4 linked regions of the Struthio camelus genome follow. The main gene of each other region encodes a partner of the protein of the gene in region 4 in a complex. Links are inferred from orthologs where the notes say so. Each region holds a gene or a part of one and is shown on either strand. Other genes may lie near its edges.

The links.
Region 1: the proteins of BMP2 (region 4) and HJV are in contact, whole or in part, in a crystal structure (PDB 4UI1), measured with the Homo sapiens proteins. The link is inferred for Struthio camelus from reciprocal best matches to the Homo sapiens genes BMP2 and HJV. Residues at the interface, in NP_001191.1 of Homo sapiens: Phe331, Pro332, Ala334, Asp335, Leu337, Asn341, Ile344, Val345, Leu348, Ser351, Val352; in NP_001366281.1 of Homo sapiens: Leu40, Asn43, Tyr46, Val47, Tyr86, Leu101, Ala102, Ser105, Ala106, His108, Gly109, Ile110, Asp112, Leu113.
Region 2: the proteins of BMP2 (region 4) and RGMA are in contact, whole or in part, in a crystal structure (PDB 4UHY), measured with the Homo sapiens proteins. The link is inferred for Struthio camelus from reciprocal best matches to the Homo sapiens genes BMP2 and RGMA. Residues at the interface, in NP_001191.1 of Homo sapiens: Val308, Gly309, Trp310, Asp312, Trp313, Met371, Tyr373, Leu374, Asp375, Glu376, Lys383, Tyr385, Met388; in NP_064596.2 of Homo sapiens: Arg91, Arg94, Gly95, Leu97, His100, Ser101, His104.
Region 3: the proteins of BMP2 (region 4) and BMPR1A are in contact, whole or in part, in a crystal structure (PDB 2QJ9), measured with the Homo sapiens proteins. The link is inferred for Struthio camelus from reciprocal best matches to the Homo sapiens genes BMP2 and BMPR1A. Residues at the interface, in NP_001191.1 of Homo sapiens: Lys297, Pro330, Phe331, Pro332, Leu333, Ala334, Asp335, His336, Ser339, Asn341, Ile344, Val345, Leu348, Asn350, Ser351, Val352, Asn353, Ser354; in NP_001393490.1 of Homo sapiens: His66, Cys67, Pro68, Asp69, Ile77, Thr78, Asn79, Phe83, Ile85, Cys100, Met101, Lys102, Glu104, Gly105, Phe108, Gln109, Asp112, Arg120, Ile122.

The regions. Positions count from the first base shown.
Region 1 is NC_090971.1:3,033,283-3,040,608, reverse strand, and holds the start of HJV (hemojuvelin), read right to left. Parts: upstream 3,017-7,326; 5' UTR 2,711-3,016; intron 1,097-2,710; exon of another isoform or gene 1,021-1,096; 5' UTR 953-1,020; coding exon 859-952; intron 1-858. Other genes in the region: uncharacterized protein, read left to right, coding at 3,915-4,034, 7,193-7,326. UniProt on the Homo sapiens protein: Acts as a bone morphogenetic protein (BMP) coreceptor. Through enhancement of BMP signaling regulates hepcidin (HAMP) expression and regulates iron homeostasis.
Region 2 is NC_090953.1:7,625,337-7,632,706, reverse strand, and holds the start of RGMA (repulsive guidance molecule A), read right to left. Parts: upstream 3,004-7,370; 5' UTR 2,755-3,003; coding exon 2,741-2,754; intron 561-2,740; exon of another isoform or gene 308-560; coding exon of another isoform or gene 294-307; intron 1-293.
Region 3 is NC_090948.1:33,513,666-33,520,519, forward strand, and holds the start of BMPR1A (bone morphogenetic protein receptor type-1A), read right to left. Parts: upstream 3,018-6,854; 5' UTR 2,809-3,017; intron 2,210-2,808; exon of another isoform or gene 2,191-2,209; intron 1-2,190. UniProt on the Homo sapiens protein: On ligand binding, forms a receptor complex consisting of two type II and two type I transmembrane serine/threonine kinases.
Region 4 is NC_090944.1:130,843,569-130,851,567, reverse strand, and holds the start of BMP2 (bone morphogenetic protein 2), read left to right. Parts: upstream 1-4,982; 5' UTR 4,983-5,744; intron 5,745-6,523; 5' UTR 6,524-6,530; coding exon 6,531-6,882; intron 6,883-7,999. UniProt on the Homo sapiens protein: Growth factor of the TGF-beta superfamily that plays essential roles in many developmental processes, including cardiogenesis, neurogenesis, and osteogenesis. Induces cartilage and bone formation.

The sequences.
Region 1 (7,326 bases), on a different chromosome or scaffold from region 4:
CTTGCCCTTTCAAGCCTCGCCAGGCTGTGCAATCGCTCTTTCGTGATGGACTGCACTGCCTCAAGGTGACCCAACCCCTCAACTGGGATTTCTCAGGGCTGCAGAAGGCAGAGCCATGTGCCACAGCCCCAGGAGGGCTAACGAAGAGCCCGCTGAGCCCAGCCTAGTAGGGACCATTCAGCTTGTTAGGCAGAGGGGTTATAACGGACAGCTGCCCACTAGGGAGAAAAGATCTGCCCTTGGAGGAGGTACATGCTGGCTGGTGGGGTCCTCTGGGCTGGGGTGCTCTGGGTGAAGGAGTGGCTCAAAGCATGCTGTTGTCTGGATGCAGGGAAGTGAGTTTAAACTTTGGGATGTGCAGGTCTGAGCCCTCCTGATAGAGGCTCTGGGGTGCAAGGAGGAAAGCAAGGGTCTGAGGGATGGATGCGGCTGGTGCCTTTTGATGGAAACGGCTCTGGAAGAGCGTGGACTTTGGCTGGCGTCTGGTCAAGGGGGACAGTGGTGATGTGCTACTCTGGGCCCTACTGCCCCTGCCTTACCTCTGGAGATAGGCAAATCTGTTAGGGGCGCTCCCAGAGAAGCTGCTGGAGAGCAGGAGGATGCTCTCCTTGCTGGGGCAGATGATGGTGATGGGAAGTGCTGCCTGTGTTTCCCTCCAGGTGAGCCGGGGACAAGGGTGCTCTGATAGCGCCCGAGCCTCATGATTGCTATGAAATGCAATGTTCTGCTTTCTCCAGTCACCTCTTAGGAGAGCTCAGCCACGGTTTTACCCTCCCTGTACCCTCAGGCTGCAGTTCCCTCTGGCTGCCCTTGCCAAGGATGTGACCCTGGCATGACTCTGCTCATCTGGCTCCTTACCATGATGGCAGAAGAGGAGGAGGAAGAGTGCCCTCAGGAAGAAGCAGGGGGTTTCCGGCTGCCCTGGGCTCTTACTGCTGGCAGATGTCCCCATTCCAATCCATCCAGAGCTGAGGGAGCTGCTCACCCGCTGGCTTGTCTCTGCTTCATTTGGCAGGTCACCTGGAAGCAAGGAATAGATGGGCTCTGAGATGCACGAGCTAAAGCGAGCAGTGGCAAGAGGTGCCCGGAGCTGCAGGTATGGAGCTGCTGGGGTCCAGACAGCTGTAAAACACAGTCCTGCAGGGTCTGGCTGCATCGCTGCTGCTCCTGGGGGGAGGCAGGCTTTCAGGCAAAATCCCAAAGGGCTTGCTTGTTTGTTTTAAACTGCTTTCAGCCCCTGCAGTTCTCATCTTCTGCCCAGAGGCAGCTGCGTGATGTAGTTCGGTGTGTCAGGCAGTTAAAATGTCCAGCTACCCTCGAATGGGTTGGCTAGCCCCACAGGCTCGAAGAGACTTTGGGGCATGGAAGAGAGCAGCTGATGAGTGCAGCAAGGACCCAGGCAGTGTTGGGTACGGCATGGGCTACCTCTGGCACACTGCTATCTCCAGCCGTGATACTGGCTGGAGAGGGTCAGTTAAAAACAAAGATGTGCAGTACGTGGCATCCGAGGGGGTAGGAGCAGCGCTGGGAGAGGCGGCACTCCGGGCTCTGCCGAAAACCTGTACGCAACATGCGGCTGTTCCCAAAGCCGGAGAAGGCGCTTGCTGGCTCCCTGCGCACCGGGAGGCTCGAGCTGGCCGAAGGGGGACTGCCAGGAGCACATCCCCACTCGGTGCGCGCTTAATCATGTCAGACAGCTGGCCACGGCAGGAGGAGGTGCAGCCGTGGTTAAATTTATCTTCCCTTCTGCTTCATTGAGGCTGCGTATTGCTGTCCTCGGGGGCTGATTTTAACAGCTGGTTATTAGTCACTTGTTAGTCAGATAGCCTTTTGCAAAGGTCCTTCGGAAGCTGCTGTGTGTGAAATGAGTATTTCCCCCTCCAAGCTTGTGTGAGACGCCGGTTGCCAGAGGCCAATGCCCACAAGGATGTGCCTGGTACCTGGGGAGCCCAAGGTGTGTGATTACTGATGCTGTGGCTGCTATTAAGTGCAGGCTACAGCCAGGAGGGAAAAGAGGCTGAAGGCTCATCCTTCCCCAAAAATGCAAAACTGCAGTCCTACCAGCTCTGCCTAGCATCTCTCAGCTCCTTTTGCTGTGGCTGCAGCAGCCAAAAAATGCCATTAGTTGTGCGGGCTGCTGCGGTGACGTAGCTGAGCGCTGGCTGCCCCCGTGTGCCTCTGCCAGCGGGATTAATGGCTGAAGGGGGCAGATGTCTGGAGTGAAAACACGCTCCAGCTCTGCTGGCGATGCTCTGGCTGCCAGCTGCTCTCGGCTGCGAGGACTAGCTGAGCCGAGTGTGCTGGTGGAGAGGAGCTGGGGCATAGGGACATGAGCAGAGACCTCTCAGCACTACCCCAAAACCCCTGGAGGAGGTGGCATGGAGGGGACTTGTCCCTGGTGTGACGCTTAGAAATAAACACCTGGTTAATGTGTAGCAGAGAAGCGCAGCTCTGGCAGGGCTGGGAGATGGAGAGGCCCTGCCGGCAGCAGGACTGTCTTTGGGACGTCCCCATCCTTGCGGTGTTGGGAGGAGAGAGGCAGCGGCGAGCCGGAGGTGACTCTGGCTCCCAGGGTCGGCCAGGGAGGGCACAAGCGGTGCAGTCCCTCTGCCCAGCTCTCCTGGGACTACCTGCACCTGGGACCCTGGGGTGCCTCTGTGTGCTTCTGTCCTGCTCTCCCCTTTCCTCAGACCCTCATCCCTGCCCTTACCTGTGTTGGCCTCCTCTGGAGATGACCTGGCTCCTGGTGTTGAGGCTCCTTCCCTGGGGGGCACCTGGGCTGGCTTGTCCTTGTCACCTAGCTCTACCTGCTGTGAAGGCCAGGGAGATCCATGGGAGGGCAGCAGGGAAAACACCACCCTCAGTCCCAGGCACCTGCATGGCCTCGCAGACGGACAAAATCTCGGGTGCCGCTGGGGAGAGCCTTGCCGGGCCACAGGGTGCTGTGCAGCTCATGCAGCCCCTCCACGGGGCGGCTGGGTCCCTGCTCCTCCTCCTTAGCTACCTTTGCTCTGTCACCTTCCCCCCTGCGGGGCAGCGGATGGGTGTCGAAATAGAGCTGCCTAAATTTAGACAGGCTCAAATCCAGCCAAGAACAGCAGGCACATGGCACAGAGGGAGGCTGTGTGTGGCCAGGGGGCTGAGGAGCCCATGGAGGTGGTGGGAAGCTCCCCAGGCTGTGCAGCACGGGCTGGGTGAGCTGGCTGCCTCCAAGGTACCAGCTTTTCCTTCCCTTTTTGGCTCCTATAGCAGGTTGGCTGCAGCCCTGTGGACTGAGTCACTGTGACTGTGCTTTCCCAACAGGGTCTTTAATCATTTCCCTGATAGCTCTCCTTCCAGGGGGAAACTGAGGCACAGGCTGATTAGAGGGGACCTGGCAGAGCTGTGCTGGGTCCCAGGCCGGCCACAGTGCTTGGAGGAGCCCTGTTTTGCTCCATGGGGAGGACGGTGGGCAGCAAATGGCTTTCAGGTGCCCCACTGAGTCCTGAGTGCAAACATGGCATGGGCCAAAGGTGGCCCGCGTTGCTGGGGGTTGGTGAACGCCAGGCCATACAGGCTTTGCTGAAAGCTGCCTGCAAGGGCTCAGATGCAGCAAGCGGCCACGCAAACCCCTATTGCCATAGGGAGGAGAAAGGGAGGGTTGTAGCTCAGGTACTAGGCCAGGATCAAAGAAAATTGAATATCCAAGGAAGATGGTTTTGGTATCCTTCATTTGCTACCTATCAGGCTTCTCCTGGGGCGATTTGTCCATCTAGGATTCCTGGCCCTTGAGGCTGGAGCGAGGATTGAAAGCAGGTCCCTCAGCGCCCCCAGAGCTGACGAACCAATAAACCCCTCTGGAAACATTTCAGAAAAAATCTCCCTGCTTCCTAACCCAAACTCTTGCTGTTTTCCAGGCCTTAATCTTCACTGAGATGGGAAGCCTTACAGACCTGCAGTGCCCTCAATGCGTTTGCACCGCGAGCCTTTCACCAGCCTATGAGGACGGGGAAGAACATGGAGGGAGACCTAACAGCCGGATTTGTCTGAAACAGGTACCACAATGCCCCTCCTGGGGGAATTGTCCAATTTTCTGCTCTTCACCTCTAGACAAGTTTGGGCTCTTGTTTAATGATGGGGGGGGAAAGGGCTTTTCCCCCTCTGACTCTCTGCTGACCTACTCTGACTAGGTTGTAGCTGCTGCTAAACTGTTCTTCCTCCAGAGAACACGGGAAGGAAGGACGAATGGCTGCTGTTTCTTGTAGAATAAGCTTAAATCTACAACCACAGGCTCATGTTTAAGTCTGTTGGAGTCTTCCTTGGAGGCAAGGGTTAGAGGAGAGGAAAACAAAGAATAAAATGCAGGCTTGGGTTGAAATCCCAGCTGGGATTGGCATCAGCAGCCCCCAGTGGAGGAAGGGGTTTGGGACTCCCAGGTCTTTGCTGCTGGGACACATGGAAGCTTTGGAGGTCTTTTGCCTGCCCCGTGTTTATGCACTGGGTATCTGTTACCTGGTAACAAGGGCCTGAGATAACAAGACAGTGGAAAAAATCTTGTTTAAAAAAAAAATTATAATACCCAAATCCCAGTGTAGCCTGCCGAGGTCTGGCCTGGCCTGGTGTCCTCTCCATCTGTTTGCCACGTGTTTCCCCGCAGCGAGCCCCAGGCGCAGACGCAGACCGAGGGAATCGGTTACGTGCGGGCCAGGAGATGGGGGCAGGCAGGTGGGAATTCTTCTGGGAACAGCAGACGGTACCATCTGGGCTTGGAGAGAGCAGAGGCCTTTTGGCATCCCACCCGCCCGCTTTGTCCGGAGCCTCTGGGCAGGGCTGGGAAACTTTGACTGGAGGAATCTGATTGGGATACCCAGGTTGCTGCCGAGGCCAGGTCCCAGGATCTTCTCTTCTGCCTCATCGACCGACTGGGTGTTGTGAGTGCGTCTCCCCAGCACTGGAAATTGAGGACGTGCCATATTTTGTCCATGCCGTGAAACCGAGCCATCAATTGTTTTAATGCTGTCAATGTGCAGCAGCTCTCCAAGCTGGGGGCTGCAGGCATATGTTGGAATGAGGAGGCTGGGAATTTCTCCCGAGCTGGCAGAGAGTCATGGTGCCAAGACAAAAGCATCTGTGATCAAACCGCTGAGGGACACCAACTCCCCCCTTCCCACTGATGAAATCAGCTGGAGGTTTAGGAGGTGCAAAGCACTGTGTCCTGCCAGCTGGATCACCAAATCCTGCCACAGTGGGGACTGCGGAGCAGCTGGTGTCACCCAAAACCCGTGGACGAGGGTTTCCCAAGCCCTGTGCTGTGTCGGGAGGGGAGCCCGTAATTGCAGCCCTGGCCTGGGGCTTTGCTACTGCAGGGTGGATCAGAGTGGGCTGATGCTGCTTTTCACCCCCAAACCCTGTTGCAAATCACAGAGCAGGGATGGCAAAAATCCTGCTCTGGCAATGGACTGGCATGCCGCAGGCGCGGCGGGAGATGCACGGAGCCACTCGCCCGAGCGCCTCCCTGCCCAGCACGGCTCACTGGACTGCTTCAAGCAGAAGCTGCCTCGTGGCTGGGAACACTCGGATGAGCTACTGCTTCGGCACACGGCGGCCATGAAATCCCTGGAGAAGGGCAGACTTGGAATTTGTGAGCATCACTGAAGCGGAGTCTCATTTGACACAAGCCAGATGTGGCCGGAGCAGTGTCTGCCCTCCCAAGGCACAGGCAGTGCCATCACAGGTCAGTCCTGGTCCCTGTTTAGCCTGGTCACTAATGCAATGAGTTTGGCAAGGGACTGGTTTAAGCCAAGTGCTTGGGGGTGTTAGTCTGCTCGGGGGAAGCAGCCCCCACGTGGCTCTGAGCTGGTGCCAGTCGTGTCTGCAAACCCACTGCTACAAGTGACACCGGTTTGCACCCAGAACAGCCTGCATGGATGGGAGAAAAATGCATCTAAAGAGGCATCGGTCTCAAAGGAGCTCATCTGCCTCCATCGGAGCAGTGGATGTGAGCAGCCACAAATCTCGTGCTGCAAGCGTCGCTCTGCTGAGAAGGGGGCGAGTGCAACTCATAGAGTACATCTCTTGAACATGCCTGGGTTAATCCACCCTCGGAGAGAGCTCAGCCAGCCTTTCCCAGGCAAACAAGCCCAGATCAATCAAGCTCATGAGGTTGGATGCGAGGGGATGAGACAAGCAGTGAATGTCAACCCTGGACCATGGCACAACAGCCAGGAGCTGGTGCTGAGGCCTCAGGGGAGATCAAAGCCAAGCATTGGTACTAGTGTAAAAGGAGATGCAAGCGCCTGGGGAAGCCAGGATTTACTGGAGGGATTTGCCAGCTCCTTGGGAGAGAATCTCATTGCTCTCCAAGTGCAGACACAGCAATGGGAGGGACATTTGTCCACCTGAAGGATTCGCTCTTCTCCTTTGCACAGCGTTTGGCATAGTGCCCCCTTTTCCTCCCTCCCCAAAACACAGAGCCCAAATCCCCGCAGAGGAGCTCAGTGCTCCACTTACCCTGGCCAGCGCCGCTCCGGCCAGCGATGGGGTGGTCTGCCGAACGCCCCTCCGGGTGCAGGTCCCAGCCCAGTGGCGCGGATTTTCCTCCGGGTTCCTCCGCCAGGCAGAAGTGCTGGCAGCGAGGAGGGAATCACGCCTGTTAACGCCCCGGGCTCGATGCAGCGGGAGCAGCAAACAGCTGAACTTTACGACAGCCCGATCTGTCACTGCAAGCTGGAGGAGCGAGGGGCGAAGTCGATGCTTTAAAAATAGCCAGTAGTATTTTTGATCCTGAAAGCTGGATTCCAGTGGGGAGGGGAAGAGAAAAGGGAGGGAGAGCCGAAAGCTACCCTGTTGCATGCGTTCCTGTGCTTCAAACCTGTGCTCTGAGCAAAACCGCCTGTGAGATGGACTGGGTCCCAGCAGGACTACACGTAGCTGGAGATCTCGGGGATTTCTCCAGGCTCTGAGAGAAGCAACGAGGTTGGGAGGACAAAGCGCTGCTAGAAATGCAAGGCAGGCTCCTCTTCCAGCAGCACCTGCCTCCCGGAGCGTGGGAGAGCCTGGCCGAGGGGCCTTCCTGCTGCTGAGGCCTGGGCTGGGAGCCGAGGGCCTGTGCCTGGGAGAAATGGCTCTTCTCCCGGCTCTGCAAAGAGCTAGATGGGATAACCAGTGAAGATGCATGTCTTGAGTTAAGTTAGTCTTCCTTGGCTTTTGCCAGCCTGGATCTTTCCTTCTCCTTGGCTTGGGAAGCTCAGGAGATCCTGAAGGAGGGCAGATGCTGGGAGGACCAGAAATCTTGCTGCGCATCTGGAGAGGGAAGATCCCGAGAAGGTCGGGGAAGAACCTGGCAGC
Region 2 (7,370 bases), on a different chromosome or scaffold from region 4:
GATAGGGAAGGTATCCGTCAGGGGGCTCATTAGTGCCCTACACGTAACTTTTGCAGTAACTTAATGGGGCAGGTGAAGGTGATGGCTTGGAGCTGGGCTTTGAAGGCAGACCAACTACTGCGTAGCAAAGTGCAGAGAAGCCAGTTCACTGTTTCAGGTAACGAACCTGCCCACAGCTGGCTCTGTGAACATTAGACTCACCGATGTGGCTACTTGAAGAGAGGCCATTGGGTCAAAGGTATAAGAAAATACAGCTTTGCAACAGCAATAAAAAAAAATAGTGTTTTTCTGACCTGCAACTTTCCATCCGCAGACAGTGATTGATTAAAAGCTTCCCTAAATAAAGCTGCTGTGGGTAACCCTGCTTTGGGCTGTCTCTTTACAGTGCCCGCTCCAAACAGCCAGCCATAAAAGTCACATCTAAATGCTCAAAACTGGTCAGGCTGAACAAGGGGCAGGAAAGATTGGACAGTGGAAAACCTCCACTCTCACTCGTGTCAGCAAGCAAAACAACAAAGTGGTATTTTCAGACAAACATTGAGTTCATCGTGTCAACTTTTTTGGCTGCTGGTATTTCATTACTTTCTCTCCCTTTCGCTTGCTCACAGCGCCTTGTGGAGTGAGACTCGGCTCTCAGGCAAAGGAGCCTGTAGCCGTCCCTTGTCCTGCAGGTCAGGAGGACTGGCTGGGACTCTTCTTCTGAGGATTTCGCTCTCTGCAAGGAGCTGGTCTTCTTGGCCCAGTATCCTCTTAGGAGTAAATACCAAGCATCATCTCTTTAGTCTCTGTTCTTCATGTCTGGGCTCCCATGTTAAAAAAACAAAAAAACATGTGGGCTGGGAGGTGCCCAAGAGCACGTTTGAATGGCCAAATGCCAGCTCAGCAGAAAGGACGGATAAATCTGAACTGCCAAAAATAAGTAGCGCAGAAAAATCACAGAGACCTGTATGTTTATCAGCAGAGACAGAAAGCAGTTTGTGTAGCAGGACAGCTACACATCTTTCTCTGCTGCTTTTAAAAATTGCTTGTGTTTTGAGAAAAATGCAAACATAGCTGCCTCTTTCTCCCCCTCTCCAACCAAACAGGTCAGCTAAGGACATCTCTGGTGTCTCTTCATTTAAAGGTAACAGGGCTCTATCTGAAAAATGGGGGGGGGGGGGGAACAGCAAGGGTTTGCAAATCTAGGTCTTGAGCACATTGAGGAAGGGGAGTTTGAAGAATCCTATGGAAAAAGCTCTCTGAATCCCTATCACCTTGCCCCCATCCCCTTGTGTCGATTCCTGACAGCAATGGCCAGAAATATAATCGATCACATGACGCCTTTCCTGTCCTCTCAGTTACAAAATGCTAAGGACCCTGATGACAGTGTCATCAGCCGATTTTAAACATTTGCCTGAATACCTCCTCGGAAAGAGACATTCCTTGTTATGGGAAAATGCCATAGCAAAAAATCTTGAATCCAGCACCTCTGTAGGCATTTCAGCAAATGACACCGGATTGCTGCGGTAGGTGTTTCTGAACAGGGAGCAGCTTTCAGACAGGCACATGTGCTTCCTCCCGGATTAAGTACAGCTCGGGGCTCTCATTCCCGCTGGGTGGTGCTGTTATCCCTAAACCATTTGCAAAAGTATCCAATTTATAAAATAAATGCAATCCAACGCCGCCTTAAACCACATGACATAACAGCAGCTTGCAAGCTCCCATTAAAATCTCAATTTGGGGAAATTGATTCTACCTCTGAGCAATTGCGATGCAATTACTCCAACAGGCAGCAATCAAGAATCACATCAAAACAACACCAAACTTTCATCTGCCTCACAGCCGCCACCACAACAAAAAGCACCTGTCTTGCAAACGCAACCCGGTTTCCTTAAACGTATATATATTTAGGTCCCTGAGTGGAAGCAAGTCTCGACGGGGGTTATGCTGGCTGCTGCCTCTGAAATGTCCTGACTCGGGGCTGTATTCTGCCACTTTGCACCTCTTCCTCCTTTTTTTCCTGGCTGAGGTTAAAGGGCTATCTAGGGAGCCGGTTCATCAGGAGGAAGGGAGCAAAGTCGAGCCCCCCGCGAGCGACGCCCCGAGCCGCGCAGCTCCCCGCGCTCCCGGCGCGCCTCCGCGGCCGCCCCGGCCCGGCTCCCGCGGCCGCGCAGCTGTCAAACCTCGGGCCGGCAGAGCCCTCCGAGGCTGAGACCACAGGATCTAGGGGACAGCTGGGCATCCCCGCAGCCGAGCCCCGCCGCTCTGCGGGAGAGCGCCCAGCCCCGTTAGGAGCTATCCAACGGGAAGGGCAAAATGCTGGGAATACGGGGTGAGGGGGTGGGGGGGAGTATTTTCAGTTCAGCTGAGTGGCCTCGCAATGAATTACCCCATGGATTTAAGCCCGGGAAGGTGCATATTAGTGGCAACCATCAACGGGAGGATGAATGAAGACACGCGTGCACGCCGGGCTAGCGCTAAAGCGGCCGGGGAGAGATGGGGCAGAGCAGCCGGGAAGAGCCGCGGGGTCTCGTCGAAACGCCTCGGAAGGGAGGAGGCTGATGGCAACGGGCAGCAGCAGCAGCAGCCTCAACAGGTCCCGCGGCGGCGCGGCCGGCAGCGGCGCTGGCAGCCGGCCCCGGGCCCGGGCCCGGCCGCGCGGGCAGCCGCGGAGGCACCCGCGGCCGCGGAGGCGCGCACGGCTCGGCCGCGCAGCAGCCCCGCGCAGCAGCCCCGCGCAGCAGCCCCGCGCCCCGCTTACCTTAGCGGCCGCATCAGCCTCGCCAGCCCGCCGCGGGGGAGGGGGGGTAGTGCAGGGAGAGGCGGCTGCTTTTCCAGGAGGGGAAAAAAAAAAAAGGAAAAAAGAGAGAAAAAAGAGGATGGTTGGGCGGGGGGCGGGGGGGGGGGGAAGAGCCCAAGCCCGGCTCGCAGGCGGCCCCCCCTGCCCTGCGCAGGGCAGCGCCGGCGGGGTGCAGCGCGGCCTCGCTCAGCGGGACGCGGGGAGCCGCATCGCCCGCCCGGAGCATGTGAGAGGCAGGCGGAGGCGATAGCGGCAGATAGGGAGGTCCCCTCCCTCCCTCCCTGCATCCCTCCCTCCGCCCGGCGGGGACGCGGGGAGCCGGCGGCGGCGAGGGAGGGCAGCGCAGCCCCGGCCGGGGGGACCCGCCGGGGAGCGGAGCGGAGGGATGCGTCACCCGCGGCCGTGGGGCACGGGGGGCTGGGGGGCTTGGGGGCTGCCCCCACCTCCACGGGCACGTCGGGGCACCTCGGTGGGGACAGAGCAGCCGGGCTGAGCATGGGCGAGGGGAGAGGAGCCGCTGCTGGGCGGTGGGGGCCAGGGTCCTCCTCCAGCTGCCCTGAGCCCCCGGTGTGAGCTTAGACTGAGCACCCGGCTCCCATCGAGGCCTGCAGGGGTTTCAGCATGTGTGGGTGCTGGGGTGCCTGCATTTGTGCTGCTGCGGTGGGAAGGCTGTGGTTGCAAGGCCACGCGAGCTGGAGTGTCACACGCACAATTAATTACTGCAGCCCCAGAGCCACAAACGCACTAAATACGCCTTAGTGCACCCATAGTAGTAGCCCTTTGCGAAGTGTTTCGTTCTCCTCGTTCTCTTTCTTTGCAATTCAAGGGGCAACAATTGTACGGAGCACACAGCAGCTCTCCGTGGCTTGATTAAGCCAGCAGCAAAGACAAAACGCACCTCTACAGCTCAAGTTTAAGGCTTAAGGAGGGTTCTCTGTGTGTGTTAGGTACAAATTAGAAAATAGATGTGATTAATCATAACAAATCTAAACAGCTCTGCTACAGAAAACTTGACGTCAAAGAGGTCTTTTTCTTAAACATGGATGCTATGCTTATATAGTACTGACAAAGGAACAATGTATTTGTGGATGAATTGGGAAAAAAGAACAGAGAAAAGACAGGGAGAAGTTTGATGTATACCAGATAAGTTATCTGGTATATAAAAAATGGCATCTTTCTGTAATAATTATTTGCAAATCAGTTTACAGTTCTGGATACTATAGTGTCTAGATACGACAGTATGGACAGAGCTGCCTCTGTCAGGCCTAGGACACTGTGCAGACAGGAAATCAAATGCAAACCCTGCCTTAAAGAAGGTAAACTTGCTAGTTAGAGGAGACCCAAGTGAATGTAAGAGACAAAGAGAAAGGAGTAGACGTGGTCGTGAGCACAGACCTTTTCGCAGGTGTGCACAGCAGGTTGGGCTCCAGTCCCACGCTGTGAAATACTGGGTGCTGGAGTGTTGCTAATCTGAGCACTTGGGGCCTGTGTTACCACGGTGGGGCGGAGGGGAGGGGAATCGCCACTACAAATACATATTCTCTGGTTATTCTGTGGAACTGTTCCCCCAAGGAGACAAAGCACAAGGCAGAAGAAAAGCTAATGCACGGGGCACTAAACATGCCTTGGTAACAACGGCAGCAGAGCATCATGGCAGCAGCAAACTGCTGCTGAGTTCACTCCCCATTGGGAAAAGTGAGCGCTGGAGCAGCAAGTTCCCACAGCGAGGCACAGCCTCTGCCAAGGGAACGCTCAGAAGTCTCCGCTGGCCACTTCCCCCAGCCCTTATCTGCACGCCGTTAATCTTCAGCATCGCACGAGGAGTTGGCACCTTCAGTTCCAAGTGCAAGGTGCATGTCTTTGACCTTGCCTTCTCTGCCATAAACAGCCAGCAAGGTGTAAAGTAGGTGTAGAGGCACACCTCTGAGGGCTCCTTTCTGTTTGCGCTTGCCCCCCACCCCCCCCCCCACCCCGGGTGCGAACAAAACACAACTACCATTTGATTACATTAGATGCAGCAGATGGAGGTGGAGCTGTGGAAGAGAAGGACTCGATAGAGAATGGACTCCTGGCCTTTTGCATTGGCTTTGAGGGCAATGGTGCAAATTTGCCCCTGCAGTGTAAAGTACAGCGAGGGGAAAAGTAAAGACAGAATATTTTGCTCTGTCTTTTCTTTGCTAATCCTGGGAATTCCCAATTTAGTGCCTGTGACCAGTTTCACCTGCTTTTATAAAAGATGAATTTGGCCCTCTCCTCGCACAAGGATCTGCTTGGCCACAAAACAAACAAAGCAAATAACGTCGGTACACTTTGTCCTTCCAGAAAAGATTAAGCCTACATGAATGAGTAGGCAGTTAAAGGAGGAGCTTGGCTGTGGGAGAAGATGGGTGGTAGTGTAAGATTGTCATGAGCAGACAGCTGGCTGTCCTGAGGAGCAGAAGGTGTGTGGGTGACCTGGGCAACTTGTAGGCTGTGCAGCGCAGCATGGATCACTCCACACCTTGTGGAAGTTAATGGAAGTCATCTTTTGGGGTTTGTGGACATTACTGGTTCAAGCTGCACAGGCCATGGAGAGCACAGAGCATAAGGGCTTTTCATTTGCCACTTCCATCCACACATCTGAGTCTCCTAAGCCTATTATTTTGAAGGCATGTGCCATGCTGCAGCTCTTCTCCTTGACCTCTGAAGGATGTGGCTGATCCTGAACTCAAGATAAAAGAATGCCACCTCATGAGCCGTGAACACCCGTCCGTGAGATTAGGCTCTGAATTATTAATACAATCAATGACTACCTCTTTTCATCCTAGAACAGGCGCAAAGGAAAGCTACAGGGGCGCTCAAAGGGAGGGACGATTCTCCAGCAAGCAGGGAGGAGTAACTTGTGGAAACCAATTTCCTTTCAGTGGAAACATCTCCCATGTCTGTTTTATTCTGGAGGTAGGAATGACAGCACCATTTGGAGCAAGGACCAGGAAAGAGGAGGTGAAAACCAAGCTGCGCTGCTGTGGCTGACAGCGGTGCTGCAGAACCCCCGTGGGGGTCCATGTGCCTGGCAGCCATCCTTCCCTCCATCCCCTTCATTGCATCGGGTGCATCAGGAACTACACCAGAAAGTGGTCCCCAACAGCCTAAACTGCGGATCTGGAGCATGTGTCAGGGAGATGTGACCATCATGAAGAGGAAGGGCTTGGGAGGGCGGGCAGCAGAGATGTGTTTTTCCTCACAGAAAGCCCAAGTGCCACGAAGCTACTTACAGCTATGCCCTGTTAGCCACGTGAGGAAGTGAGAGCTGATCTCCAAGGCAGGTTGTGGCTGTCTTTTGTGGGGTGAACTTTTCTGTACTAGGTTTCTTTACTGAGGGGACATCCTGGTTCTTTTCAGGTTGGAGCCTTTCTCCTTTCCCTTTGTGGATGCCGCTGTGCAGAGGTGCGGTCAACATAGGCTATTGTGTCTCTGTTCTGACTTTTACCCATTTCCTTGGCTTGGGCAAGTCCGCTGTATTTGAGACTTTCAGTCAAATTGGTTCCCTTCTGTTCCTTTCTCTATTTTATTTGGGAGGCAGGCACAACAGCCTCATCCTATACAAGGACCAGGAAAAAGAAAGAACTCCACAATTCAGAGCCTCATATAGGAAACGCAGCTAGCTGGAAACAAAAAATAAAACAGCATCTTCATTCTACTTTTCAGATTAAAAAAAAAAAAAAAAGAAAGAAAAGGTGCTGAGCTAGTAGAGCTATTCTTTCCAGGTAGATAAAGCAAAGCATTGCTTCAGAGCTGGTCAAAATGTCTGGAAAACATTTTCATTAAAGTTCAGATCAACATTACAAGTAAGATAAGAAAAGAAGTATGCAGTTACAATTATGTAGTGCTTTGTGATTACAGACAGATTCTGTAATCCTTATCCAGGGGCTTTTACAGTTCAGTTTAACTTATTTCAGTATGTAAAGTTGAGCCCAGACAACACTGCTCTCCTACAGTCCTCACCTGCGCTCTGGTCATACGAGGGACCGTGGCAGACCAAACCGCATGTCCAAGCAACATCTCCCAGACACATCAGCTGCCCTGGCTGAGGACCAAGCCTCCCTTTCTCCTTTGCAGCTGCTTATTAAGATTCTTCTGTCTATAACTTCTAAACTTACATTTGCTTTAAGCAGCAAAAAAGTGTTACTGGTTCACCTGGAGCCTGAGTAGCAAATGCACAGCATGACAACTGAGAAACACCAGAAGTGGCAAGAGTATTCTTGCAGGTGTTGCTAGAGAAAATATTCAGGTGCAACACAGAACTATAGCAAGGAATAATAATTCTGCCATTCAAAGTGTTCACTCACGCTGAGAGCAGTGGCAATGCCATGGAAAAGGCTCTGGGAATGAGCTGATCAGTGCCAAGAAGAGTGCTCGGCTCCATAGCGGAACAGCGAGCATTTCCAGGCTCTGAACTGGTCAGGGTGTCCTCTCCTGAGTGGGGCAGTGGTCCATGGGCAAAGCAGGAGTCTGAGCAGATGGAAATATTCTTCCCCCCTAACCAGTGCTTCTAAACTATCTGACTTCAAGTATTTGCTGTAAGCCCCAGAGCAGTCCCTTGGGTTCAGTG
Region 3 (6,854 bases), on a different chromosome or scaffold from region 4:
GCTTTCCCAGATAGCCAAGATAGAAAGGGCAGATCTTCAGCTGACCCTTTACACAAGCACAGAAGAAACATACACATTTTGAATGTGCTCCGCACCCCACACGCACTATCTTGTCTCATTTATCCATCTACACCTTTCAACACCCTGCCAAAGAAGTTGCTATGCTCAGCCATCATCTGCTACTGGAAACAGATATTGTCCTCATCAGAAAAGTTACCAGCCACAAAGACAAACAAGGCAGGCAGGCTCCCACCTCCCTTTTTGATTTGTTTTGTTTTCAAGGTCTTTGGAGAGGCAGGGTTTGTTTCTCTTAGAAAGTCTGGATATATCAAAAGTCATGCAAGCGCTAGTATCTCTTCTTTGACCCCTTCTATGAGGGCACCTATTGAATTCCTCTTATCTGCTGTAACATATTCGCGCTTCACAATGCCTTAGAAAGCTGCAGAAGTTCTTCATTATATTGAATGATTTAAGAGAGATTTCCTCGATTCAGAGTGGTTTAACATCACTGTTTTCACACTACTTTTTTTCTTCTAAAATATGAAGATAACTTACACTAATCCGTCGTTATAAAAATAGTGAATATTTAGCAAATCCTTCCCTATATTTTTATTAATCTTTATATAATTGCATAATCTATATCTTGCTTCTTGGAGAAGCATAAGAACATACTTCCTAACTTAAAAAAAAAACAAACAAAAAAACCCCACAACACTAAGCAATCCATCAAGTGCTAGCCTTTCAGCACTCCAGGAAGTAGACAAAGCTATCTATTACTTCTTCAAAATCCTTTTTGTTTTTATTGGCATAATACTCCAGTAAAGCTCATCTATGGCAAACACTTGTCCATTTTAAAAGAAATTATCAGACCTAGTTTATGGCACATCCAAAAAGGCACAATATTTAATACCAAATGTGGTCAACATTTTATTTTCTCAAACTTGGATACTGCTATTAAAATCCACATCTAAAAAATACTTAAATAAGGGAGTAGTTCAATAACTACAGGAAGTACCAGAAAGAATAAAGTTAATTATTTTAGTTATGCTACCTACATTTTAGACTCCTGATTCCTAAATGTTGGAAGCCAGAAAGCAGTAGGTACATTGCTTACACACTCTACCATATTGAGTATTTTTAATTCTCCTAACAAAGCACACAATTCTCACTGTAAGGATTTTGAAAAGCAGCGTCAAAAACATTAGGAGTTAGTTTCTCTACAATGACTTCAAGAAATCGTGGCAGCTCTAACTGCAAAATATTCCGTTAAGCACAACTTTTAATGAGTAAAATCCAAGTTACACGGAGTAGGGGCTGGATCACATAACATCGAGAGGTCCCGTCCAACCTAAATTACTTCATGTTTTTAGAAAGAAGGATGCAGCTCCAGCCACATATATTCCCTGTCAAGGGAACTGAGGAGCCCATAGGACATACTTAAGTCTGGCTGCTGAACCTTACCTCTACGCGAGAGGATCCTCAACAAAAAATCTTAGACTAAAACTCAAAGCCCACTGTGGCGTATGCATGTGCACCTATATGTAAATATATATGAAACACAGACATGCACTTACATAACAAAATTAAATCTACTGAATAATTTAAGAAAAGGTTACAAAAGGAACATAAGTACAGTAACAAGAGACAAATACACTGCCAACAATTTACAAATGCCACAACACGGAGATTTTTTTTTGCATGCAGACTGCAATGTCATCTGACTATAAATTACTCTCACGCAATGTTTTATCCAGTACTAGTTTCTACTACAAATCAGGCAACTTTCTTGAAACAGATGACTTTCCTCTTATCTGCAAAAGCAGTTTCTTCATCCCTACAGATAACAGACTCTGAGCAATTGCAACGAAGCTACCTGGATGAAGAATTCACTAAATATTTACCTGTCCACAGAGAATGAAAAGAGTCAGACAGGCAGTCAATCCACACTGGAAAGAATCACCCTACAACCTCAGCACAAAACGACAGGTGACTGCTCCACGGAAACACACTTTAATGCCATTCTTTGCCGCCGAATTCACTTTCTTTCACAAAACTAAAGGGCCGTAGGGAGCCATGCAAGTTTTTAACCGTCTTCCCTAGGTTTTGCAATCAGTTACAGGAAGACACCGAACACCGCAACTCAACAGCACAGCCTTCGGCTGTTCCGTAAGACCTCTACCGTCAACGTACCAAGTAAAACTTCTAAGGTAGGCCCAGCGACTAGCGCTCTTTGCGGGAAGAGTTTTGTTCCTTATTTCGTATAACCCGACAGCAACAGGCCGACCGAGGCGGCGCGTAACTTGGCTCCAAGCGCGCACGAACGGCGGACGACGCTTCTTACTGCGCGCGCCCCTGGCTGAGGCGAGCGGGGCCTCTCTTGCCGGCCGGGGCCGGGGCCGGGGCCGGCCCCCGCCCGCGCCCACCCCGCCGCGGGGGCAGCCGGCCGCCGAAACGCGGCCGAGGGGCGCCGTGCCCGGCGCCAGCGCAGCGCCTCGCCGCGCCACCCTCGGCCTCGGCCGCGGCCCAGCGCCGGCGCGGAGGGCGGCGGGGCCGGCGCAGCGCCCCCAGCGCCGCGGCGGGGCAGGGCGGCGGGTGGGGGGACCCGCGGCCTGCGCGGCGCCCGGCGGCCCGCACCGGCGGGCGCAGAGGGGCGGAAAGCCGCCGGGCAGCGGCGCGGGGCGGCGGGGGCAGCCAGCCCCGACGGCGCCCGCTCCCCTCCGCCGGGCCAGGGCAAGGCGTCCCGCGACGGCCCGACATGCCCGCCTCTCCGCGGCGGCAACGCAGGCGCGGCGCGGCCCCCGCACTCACCCGCGTCGGGGGCTCCTCATCCTCCTCGGCGGCGAGCGAAGGCGGAGGGGGAGGGGGCCCGCGCCCCGCTTCGCTCCGCTCCGCAGGCCGTTCCCGCGGCCTCGGCGGCTCCGGGCGGACGGGGAAGGCGGGGTGTGCGGGGGGAGGCGGGGGGTGGGAGGGCCGGCGGGCCGGGGCACGGCGCAGGCTCCGTCCCTCACGGCGCTCCCGGCGCGGCGCGGCGCGGCCCGTCCCTGCGGAGCGGGGTGGGGCGGGGCCCCGGCCGCATTCCAATCACTGCAGCCGCGGCCGCGCGCACCAACGGCCGCTGCCGGGCTGCCTCGCGCGCGGCGGCCGTTGGCGCGGGGCGGCGCCCCCTCTTCCCCCCCCACCTCGCGCGAGCGGCGGCCGTTGGCGCGGGGCGGCGCCCCCCTCCCCCCCGCGCGACCAGCGGCCGTTGGCGCGGCCTCCCCCCCCCCCCGCTCCCGCCCCCTGCAGCGGCTGCCGCCTCCGCCCTTCATCAAGGCGGGCGGTAGGCGGGAGGGCTGGCGGGGCCCCCCGGAAAGAAAGTGGGCCGGGAGGAACGAGCCGGGCCTGCTTTTCCTCCCGCGTGGTCCCTGCCCTCCCCGGGCGGCCGCGCAGGCCTTGGCCGCTGCCTCCCCCCGCCCAGCGCGGCGGCGGAGCCCCGGGCGAGGCGGAGAGGCGGGTGCCCGGCGTGGCTTTGCCAGGCGAGAGGGCGCAGGAGCTCCTCCAGGAGACGCTAGCCAGGTGCGAGGGCGAAGAGTGGCCAAGCAGGCGTCGTGGGGGCTGAGCTGCGCCGAGGTGGGGTGAGGGGGGCGCGGCAGAGGGCCGGAAAGCTGGGCCAGGGAGCTGGTGGGGCCGGTGCCCCGGAGGACGGATGGCTGGCAGGGCGCGCAGAGCAGGGGGTGTGGAGGAGTGTTTTAGCGGCCCTGCCTGACGTGGCGTAAGGGGACCACGGTGTGAGCGGGAGTGGGCAACGAGGAGGCAATTGCCGCCCCACTGTAGGGGAAGAATGAGGGCCCTGAAGGGGCCTTTTAGTTATGCGGAAAGATAGTTTAAGTTCTGGAAAGGCTGGCGTGCCAGGGCCAGGAGAGGGGTAGTGCCACCGCAATGGACGAAATTGTTGGTTTGCTTTTTCCCCTTCCTGTATCTCTAAAGATTAGCCCAGATAGTTAGGCTGGGATAGAGTATAACTTCTGCAGTGAGCTGCTTTGCTCATTGGTAAGTGTGCTAAAGGCCATGATTTGCATTGGCTTTCCAAGCTCCTCGTCATTAGGGCAAATTAGCAAAGTCGTAACTTGTCTGTCTGTCTTCAAGTGGTGTCTCCCAACAGCAGTGCAGAAGGGGCTTTGATGATGGTATGCCATATGACAAGGAGTCCCCACAGTTCCCACGTGGGCTGCTGTTTTCAATCATTTACTCAACAAAATTACAGCGGTTGTTTTGTTGACATGGTCTTGCCTTTAATACCATATCGATTGGACCCTCTGCATCAAGAACTTTGCACGTAAAGCCAACGGTAGGGGGCAAATAAGATCATACAGCTCATACAAACCTACTCACTTTCCTGTTGCAAGTAGACCAAAACACCCTTTAGGACACATCAGCAATTGCCATTGTGAAGAGGTCTGCCCAGATAAACCATTTCTAGAGAGTAACCATTGAGAAACAATCTCACTTATGAGTGGCAAATAGCCACATGTACATATCGTGTGGGAAACAACGGCTTGCTTACTGTGTTGTCCTCTCCACAGTCTAGCTCCGTTTTTGCATGCTAGTATCAGATAGGATTCATAAATGTCATGTACTCCACTTTAGAGTTACCACTTCAGGATGTAAAATGAGAGCACTGGCTCTGCAAGAACAGTTCATATGCATTAGACTCATGGATTGCTAGGCAAGCGCTTAGCCTGCATACTATCCCATATAGCAAAACAAAAGAGGAAGTATAATTTCAAACCTGTCAACTTTGCAGGCTCCTTTAAAATGCAACCAAGTAAAGGCACACCTCGTAAGGTGCAGGCGGCCAGATACTACAGTCTTAGGCATTTAAAAATACAGGTCTTGTCTTACTAAACTTCTAGAAAAAAATTTTCCGATGACCCTCATCCAGAAAAATTTGTCAGTGTCCAAAACAAAGACAGTCTGCAAGAAAGACAAAATCACAGCTTTCATGCCAAGCAATACAGAACTTGTATGCTTATGTTTATAATTTCAAAGGAAAATATGAGTCTGCTGTTCCTCCACTCTGTCTGCTATCAGATTATAGCAACAGAATAGACACTCAATATGGAAGAAGAATGCGACATGCATGTGAGCTCCCAACCAGAGCTAAAACTGCTAGAGCTAGCATCTCTTTAAATAATAATCTATGTGGTAATACAATCCCGTGCTTTTCAGATGTTGGGTATTGATTTAAATCCAGTATGCCTGAATTTAGCAAAAGCCACTAACCTTGAAATTTGTCTGATTCCTCGTGTGAAATGGATCGATTGTTTCATCCAGTTCTTGATGAGTAAATTAGTAAGTCACAGGAACTGCCTTCTCAACTAGTACTTTTTAAGGCACTCGTACTTAAGATGCCTCAAGCAATAGTCAGGCCGGAAATAATGTTGCTTAGGATGTGGTTTCAAATTCATACAGGTGTAAAGTATTTTTTGAAACATACGATTTACAACAAAAGTATAAGAGCAATGTGGGCAGAATAAAATTCCTTTTTTACGATCATACAGTGGTGTGTGTGTGAGAGGGGGACTGCTGAGCAGCCCAGCCATAACGTGTGATGCTGGACGTGATGGAAGTGTTTTTCTTTATATAGTGCCTGAAGAACCCAATTGTACACCCCCTAATGAATCGAACTGCGAAAATTTAACCTAAGATTTTTGTCAAGTAAAACATGAAGAATCAAACCTTATTTTGTTTTATTTTATGGGGTAGGTAGAGATATCTGTTTAAACCAGAAGATGAGCACTTCAGCTGATAGGTGGTCAGAAAGACACAAAGGGTCTCAGCAAGCTTGTTATCAGTAACAGACAATTCACTTGGTCAAGATTGGTCAAATCTGCAAAAACTTGGACGCGTCGGTTTTTGGTAACATGAGGTACTTATTTTGTAAGTAGAGAAGCACTCAAAGACACTGAAGTAAAGTCTGAAGATAAACATATGTTCATTCAACACTTGGACAGGAAGGGATGTGGAAGGCTAGCGAGAAATATAGGAGTGGTAGTTCAAGACTGACTGTCATGATGAAGAGAGCTGTATTAAAAAGAAATTAAATAAGTCATGAATTGGATAGTCTTCCAGCTGCTTTCTTTGTCATTTCCTCTCCAGGAATTTCTTATTAGGTCTTGGAATCACTTGGGACATGCAAGTCTTAAATATCAAAAGCTCTTTAAGAACAAAGAGGTATGTATAGGGAGAAGGTCATCCATGTGATAGGGCTTTCATCTTGGTATATCCTTCTTCCTTTCAGTCTCTGGAATTCATATGTCTAAAATCCACAGTACAGTGTATAAGCCAAATATATTTTTGAAAATATATTTGCAATTAGATGAGTGCTTTTCTGGTACTGTTACTAAAATAAATATTCCATGTTAAATATTAAAAGACTATTGCCCTTCAGCCAGGGACATAATTTTTTCACTTAACATGATGTGAATTTGGCTTAGTCTTTTTTTCAGAATTATTTTACTTGAAAGCACGTTCTTTTGATTATAAATCCATTCAGCTGTCTGTTACTTAGGAATGGCACAGATTTTATTAAATGTGTTAAATGTAAGCATAATGAATTCAATAAGCCAGTTTCAAATCTGTGAGGAAAGGTGTTTTTAAAAAACTTCTGCTGTTGAAGCACTGATAGTAAAAAGGCAAAAAAGCATTAATTCATTAGCATTGCAAGCCCTGGCCAGTCTTCAGTCCAACAAGTGCGATGTGGAACTGAGCATGGTACAGAACTGGAAAACAGCGTAGGAGACTCCAATGTGCAGAACAGGCAGGAGGAAACAGGAAACTGTTCCCACAGCTTAAATACTTGGTGCATTTTGGGG
Region 4 (7,999 bases):
CTAGCTACTGAAATCTCACTAGTCTACCAGTCTATGACTACCCGTACTACATATGGATGAGTATTTACAAATGATGGCGGTGCCTAGATATCTGTTGGGTGATGACTCTGTTGTTCCTCGTGCTCTACAGAGCCGTAAGAACATTTCCTCCCTTCTTAATGATAACAATTACTGTTGAAATATTGGCTTTTGAAATTTGGAACTTTGTAGCTTCAAGGGGAAAGCGGTAGAAAGAGGTTATCACGTTAACTTGCACTTTTCCTCTTTCCCTAGCAATGTTATGAACTACAGATTGTAGGAATTTGTCTTACAGTATTAAAGTTACACAGCCTTGTGAACTGATTACTGTATCCTGTATTTGCAGATGTTACATTGTTACCAGCACCCATCAGCTTTCATTAGCAATGTAGACACACTGCAAATGTAGAAAATACTGGGCCTGCACTGTATTTCGTGATAAATTCCAATTTCCCTGCTACTATGATGGAAGCAAAGTGGAGATTTGATGAATGAAATTGAGACTCACCGTGAAACAGAGCAACAGCTTTGAAGAGCTGCCAGATTTCAGCAAAGGTGAAGAAGAATGAAGTAGACATTTCTGAATAAACTACCTTCCCCTCTTCAAGACCAACCCCCCATCTTATAAGTTCTCTTCTCTTATAAATTATCTTCCGTCCTTAATGGAATGGGAGACAGACGGCACAGCGTAGACAATTTATGGTTGTTAAAAGACAAACCACCAGAAGACAAATATGTCTTTACAAATGAGTGTTAAGTGATATTTCAGAGAAAGACTACACATCATATTCACACAGATGCCAACAGGAAGCACAGTTTAGAAACAGAAAAGCTTTAAGATAATCTCCACTTTTTATGAAGCCAAAACCTCAACATCACTAACACATCTTAACTCATTTTCAGAATTTGCCCCATATCATTTGATGCCATATCATTTATATGTTTCATACTTTAGCACAGATTTTTTAAAGAGTTTTATTCAGTAAAATATGCAAATACACACACACATACCTACATACAGGCACACACATCCATACATATATACATACATACATACACGCACACCCACCCACACCCACATATATATATATAAAACTCACACCTATAAGTATATCATACATCAAATCCTTAATACATATCGGGGGACAGAGGTCTAAAGTGGGAATTTTCAAAAACGCTCAGTATAGGTCTCACTAGTCTGTTGAAGTCAATGGTAAAACTGTTTACTATCAATGTGCATGAAGTGACGATAATGTTTCTGGAGGCTTGTACCTCTAACTATACCAGAAATTATGTCATTCGTCACTAGTTAGAGACACTGGTGAACATTTCTCATGTAGATCTTTCAGCTGAAGTCTTCTGCCCGTAGCCATCGATAAAGACAGTCACAATTTAACCAGCTGGAGAAAAGAGACTACATAGTGGCAGCATATAAGAGTGATTTGATAGAGTATTTGTAAGAGGAATATGCTGTAGAAAATTGTTTTCTTCTTTCTCCCTCTAGTCGTGAAAAAAGGGCTCTCACTGTGTTGTAAAACTTATCCTCATTTGGAAACTTTTCTACCATGTATTAAGAAAACCCAGCAATACCTAAAGTTGAGATCCATCAGCTGTATTTGGACTCCTGCAAAGGAACACCTGGGTGTGAAACCTTAGAAGCAGGTGCCTCTAACTGAATACTCAATGGCTATAAAAAAAAAAAAAAGAATAAAAAAGCAAGTGCGGGAAAGAAAGAAGAAAGAAATTAATCAGTCCAATCAATGATACAAGGTTCAGAAGTAGGGATATGAATGAAGTTTCACAAAGGAGATTAACGAATATGCATGGTCAGGTTTCCTAAAACCTAATGTCTGTACCAGATCTTTTCAGTATAACTGGTGGTTTCTCTATCAGGAATGTAATTGAAGTTCAGGCTTGATCTGAAAAACTGTAAAACTAAATGGCGCGGTGGGACTCCACTCTGATGGGGGTGGATCTTCAGCTGATGTATCACTTTACTCCCTTGATTTCACTGAGCCTATGTGGAATTACAGCATCACGAAATACAGCTCATTTGTCTCCAGGAGCATTGTCTCAGGTTCATTGCCGTACAGCTATAAGGGTGGGAAAGGCAGAAGGGTGTTATGTCTGCCGTGAAAGCTCAGTCTGGGAACTAGAAATCTGGGTGGGCACTTCCTGGCATGTTTCCACTTCACAAACCAAATGTTTCATTTCTTAAACCTAAATGCACCCGTCTCTAAGGCTGTTTGTAGCATTGCTGCTTCTCATATTATGACCTCAGGAGTGCTGACGCTACGGAAGTTACGGTAGCAGGTCTGAATGCAGTGTTCAGAGATAGTGGGATGGTTCTCCAGGTGGATAATGAGTCAATTGTCATGTTGATGAGACACAAACCGTAACTGGGCCTTAATGGCAGACGCAGTGCAGTTACACAGAGCTCACGGCCAGGACGACTGACCCAAAGACTTTCCTTGTAAAAGGAGGCACCTGCAAACAGCCAGTTTTATGAATGAGCTCTTCAGTTTAGGGGTGTACAGAAGCTATTGTGAACACTGGAAGCAGGGCATCACGCTGAAGGACTCTTGGGACTACCCTCCTGCCTTTGCAGCGCGATAGCTTCCTGCCTGCGGGTTCACCTCCGATCAGCATGTGACCTATGGACGCAAAGTGACAAGATATACAAAGTCTTGCATGCCTGACCTGTTTCACGTGACAGATCTGCTGTGGCTATCTCTGCATAAAAGCCTTCTGCAGCGCCACCCTGCTCGCTCAAGGGTTCACTTCTAACACAAACGTCTTTTGAGGGAAAAGGGGAACGACACTTTCAGAAGCTTATTCACTAGGGCGCTTGTGGATGGAGGCTTTGGTTGAAAAGAAATTGTATGCATTCTGGTGAGAAATCTGCATGTGCGCCAAGCAGAGCGGGGAAGGTGCTGGGATGCGTGTTTTTGAGGTTCTGGTAGGGGATGCCAGTGCATGCGGGGACACGCTATGAGCCCTTCCTGTCTTCACTTGGGACCTTGTGCAAACAAATGGTAAGACAGAGCCGCTACCCCGGGTGCTCTCAATCTGAATAGACTAGAGAGATGAAAAACTAGGAGAGGAAACATGTTTTCCTGTGTGAAGCATTAGTTTTTTATGACCAAGAGAACGGAAGACTGTGTGAACTGACAGGCGGAGAGGAGGCAAACCTACAAGACCCTCTTGATATCAGATCAGAATATATCCAGGCCTTTGGAACAACCATAAAGATACTTCTCCCTTATAAGGTCCATCATCCTAATATAGAAACCTCCTGGAGATAAAGCGAAGCTGGGCATACAGTACAACCTATGCTCCAGGCACAGGGAGTAAGTGTTGAGGCAAGAAATGACTTTTTCCTGGCATGACCCACTACAGATTGAACTGGAATGGCAATTAGAAGTTGAAGTGCTCATTTAATGTCAGTGATGTGTAAACTACATTGCCATTGTTATTTTAGTGCTGATTTACATAATTGGCATACCCTGAAGTCACACTGCATGCACTTTAAGTTCATGCTAAAGAGTTGCAGGAAGTCATAAAATTAAACATTATCTGAAATGGAATGCAACAGAAAAGTTACTAAACTTTTGAAGGATTTCATTTTGGTCTGTGTCACATCTCCTGCCTGTGGCCCTGGGCACGGCAGCGAGCGAAAATCGGAGGTTAACAAGTCCTGGGACTTGTCTGCATGGAGAAAGAAGCTTTACCAGCTCTTTAATTATATTGGTGTAGTTCTAAAGTGGTTTTGCTACACTGGTATGTAACTCTCCTTGTTAACATTTCCTTCCAGGAGTGACGTTTTGCCAGTATAGCTTAAGTCAATCTAAGGAGATAGGAAAGCCAAAATAAGAGGGTGCACATGAGGAATTGCTGCACTCTAACTGTGCTGAATTGTTGCCTCAGACTGGTAGTTTTCCTCTGCTGAAAAGCCCTAAGATGGAGGGAAAAGGCCGCTCCCAAAGGAGGAGCTGGTAATGGAGCTCAGTTGTTATTGCTTTAAATCCTCCTCCGCACAGTAATTCAACGTGTCAAAGGCTGTCTGTGTCTTTTGCAAATGAAGCCCCCGAGAGGTATCCGAGCAGGAGGCGCGGCGCTGCCGCCGGGTCCCCCGGCTGGGGTCGGTGCGCTGGCGGCCGCAGCTCCCAGGACCCTCGCTCGCTCGCTCGCTCGCTCGCTGCCCGGGCGGGGAGGCGAAGGGCCCGGCCCCGCCGCGGAGCCCCGCGGGACGCGCCGCCGCCCGCGCTTTGCTCCGGCGCCCGGCGGCGAAGTGACTTGTCCGCGCCGGCCGCGGGCGCCGCCGGCTGCGCGCGGGGCCGGACCCCGCCGGGCGGCGGCTGCGCCCCTCCCGCCGCGGCCGGGGCCGGGTGCCGCGGTCCGGCCCGGCCGCAGGTGCCCGAGGGGGCGGGAGGCGGCGGCCGGCGGGGACGGCCGCGGCCCGGCGCAGCTCCGGCGCGTTTCCGCCACTGGAGGGCACCAGCCGCATCTCAAACACCCGGCGCCGGCGGCGGCGGCCGCGCACGGCCCCGGCAGCCCCGAGGGAGGGCGAGGCCGCGGGAGCCGCCGCACCTCCGCGCGGCGCGGGGCGGCGCGGGGCGGGGCGGCGCGGACCCCGCGCTCCGGCGCTCCGCGGGCGGCCGCGCCGCGCGGAAACGTCGGGCCGGCGGCGGCGCGGCCGCCCGTGGGCGCGGGGCCCCGGCGGCACCTGCCGGGAGCGCGCTCGGCTGCGCGGCCCGGGGCGGCGGCACCGGCGTCGCAGGGCGCGGAGCCGCTGCCGGCCAGGCGAGGCGAGACCAGCCCGCGCCGCAGCCTAACGGGCCGGGCCGGGCCGGGCGCCCCGCGCCGAGCCGAGCCGAGCCCCGGGCGGGCTGGGGGGGGGAGAGGAGGGCGGGCAGGAGGGAGGGAGGGCGGGCGGGAGGCGGCGTCTCCTTTAAAAGCCGTGCGGGGCCGCAGCCCGCTCCCACAGGGCGGCTGTGATTGGCGCGGGCCCGCGAGCCTCCGGGGTCGTGACATCGGCGCGCAACAAAAAGCCCCGGCGGCGGCGCCCGGCCACCTCCGTCAATGGTGCGGTGCAGGGGCGGGAGCCGGGCACGCCTGCACGGCGCGCGGAGTGTGCACACAGAGCGGTCCCCGTAGCGCTGCCGCCGCCGCCGCTCCACGCGAGCCGCGAACAAACTACTCCCCACCCTTTTTTTTTTTTTTCTTCCCTTCCTCCCTTTCCTTTTCCCTCCCCCCCTTCCTCCTCCTTTCTTCTTTCTTTTTAAGGCAGCGGAGAAAAGTCAAGCTTCATCTTAAATGTTGCTGCGGGAGTCTCAGTAAATGTCCATCTGTCTGATGCTGATGATGCAAAGGACATTTTTTAAAAGGAGCCTTTTAACTCCATAGACACATAGGCACCCATTCACGGGCAGGCACACGCACACACACGCGAGGAGGAGGAGGAGGAAGAAGAAGAAGCAACAACTTTCTGATCGCTGCTTTTAAAAGGGAGAAGCCCTTCCCTGGCTGGGACTTGCCTTCTGCCTCCCAAGCCAGCTGCTAAAAGTATGTTTCTGAGGCGGACCGTACTTCAGGGAACTTCTATTTTCTGCTCGGCAGCTGTAGAGGAGCAGCAGCGAAGTTTGGAGTAACACCAAGTGATGCGGGAAAAACACCCCGAGAGCAGAACACCCTCCTGCAGACACAACCCCCGCTGCTGCACACAGGTATAACCCCGGCGGTCGCAGATCCGCTGCAAGCCTTCTCCGCAGGATGACTCCGTGGGCCACGGCGGAGGTGCTAGCGCTCTGGAAGAGAGAGGGGGGACGGGACACTAGTCATAACAGTAATAATAATCCAGCGCAGAGTTTCACGGGGGAGAAGAATATCCTGTGGGTTTGGCTAAGGACGTAGCAGGATTTCCCTCTTCCCCCCCCCCCCTCCTTCTTCCACTCCGCCGAGAGAAAACACCTCTGCCTCTCTCTGCGCGCGGGGAAGCCTCTGCCCCGCCGCGGAGCCGGGGAAGCGGCGCGGGCAGGGGCGGCGGGCCGGGCCGGGCCGGGAGCGGCGCGGGCAGAGCGCGGCGGCAGCGGACGGGACGGGACGGACGGGCCGGGCCGGGCCGAGCCGAGCCGGGCGCACACCTGTGCCGCGGCGGCCGCGCTGACAGCGGCCGCCTCCTCCTGCCCTCAGCTCGGCCCGCTTTGGTGGCGGATCGCCCCGCTCCCCCCGCCCCGTCCCGTCCCGTCCCGTCCCGCCTCGCTCCCTTTGATCTCCTGCCATGGGGATTTTCGTGCCTTTCTCCGCCGCGCGCTCCCTCCGAGCACCTGAAACCTGCCTGCCCCGCGCCGCCTGACGGGGCCGGCGGCGGCGGCGGCGGGGGGGAGGGGGGGTCGGGGTCCGCGCCGCGGCCGCAAAGCGGGGGGATCCGCGGTGGGAGCCACCTGCGGGCCGTGCCCGCGCGGCGCCACCGGCTCCCATCGCCTCCTCCTCCTCCTCCGCGCAGGTTGATCATGGTTGCCGCCACCCGCTGCCTCCTGGCGCTGCTGCTCTGCCAGGTGCTGCTGGGCGGCGCGGCCGGCCTCATGCCGGAGGTGGGCCGGCGGCGCTTCAGCGAGCCGGGCCGGGCCGCCTCGGCGGCGCAGCGCCCCGAGGACCTGCTCAGCGAGTTCGAGCTGCGCCTGCTCCACATGTTCGGGCTCAAGCGGCGGCCCAGCCCCGGCAAGGACGTCGTCATCCCCCCCTACATGCTGGACCTCTACCGCCTGCACGCGGGCCAGCAGCTGGGGCAGCCGCCCGCCCTCGGCTACCCGCTCGAGAGGGCCGCCAGCCGCGCCAACACCGTCCGCAGCTTCCACCACGAAGGTAGGTGGGCAGGGGGGGGGGCCGCGGCGGCGGTTGGGCGCGGGCGGGGGCCGTTGGCGGTTGGCGGCGGGGGGCGGTTGGGCGCGCGCGGCGATGGCGGCCGTTAACGTGCGCGGCCCGCGCGTGCGGCCGTGCCGGGCGGCGAGCGGCCGCGGGACGGGGGAGGAAAAGGGGCCGGGCAGGAGGAGGAGGAGGAGGAGGAGGAGCGTCGGGGGCAGACTCCTGCCCAGGAGGGCATGCCTGCGCTCGGCCGCTAATGAAATGCGTTTTGTCGAGTTTACAGGAACGGGGGTACTCGGTTTTGCTTTAAAAGCCCCGCTTAGAGGACTCTGAAGTTTCTGTTCCTGACGCGCTTATTCAGCAAAGCGCCTTCCTCCTCCCCCTTCCCCCACCCCCCACCCCCCCCCCCCCGCAGCCGATGAGGGGCCCTTATTTTATTTATTTATTCTGCGAAAACAGACCTGCTCCAAATTAAGCCTTCCCACAGATAGCTTTTCTTTCACAAGGCCAAACACCAGGAAAAAGCTCCCTAATTCACAGCTGAGCTGGGGTCGTTTGGGAGGTTTCTAATCCTTATCTAATCCCCGTGAGAGATCAGTGAAACAGTCGATTGTGGCGTTTCCTCAGCGGCTTTCTTGCCCCCCCCGTTGGGTTGAGGAGCACCTCAGCCTAGACCTGAGCCACACCACGAAGGAGGCGGGCGGGCGAACAGGCTGGTAAAAGCCTGGCTGCCGGATTTCAGGTGCACCCCAAGACCTCAGGTAACCTGGCCGAGCCTTCAGCAAGGTGCCAGATGGCTCTGCAGAGGCCGCGCGAGGTGCGTGCCCACCAGAGTGCTCTGGGGTCCCCGGGCACGGCCATCCCGTCCTCGCCGGGCCCTCGGAGGCGGCAGCGGCGCCATGTTGGCCCTGTAACGCCACCGCCGGCTCGCGCTTTGGTGAGGCGCTGAGTGCCTTCGGCTGCCTGATGCGCCCGCTTGCCGCTTCGGTGACTGACTAAACGCACGCAAAGGAGATTACCTTCAAAAGGAGGCTCTCTGGGATAGCGGCGTGTTTTTGTTTTCTTCCTCTCGCCCCCGCTCCAGTGACTGACTTAGTCGGTGCGCTTGCCCGGACTG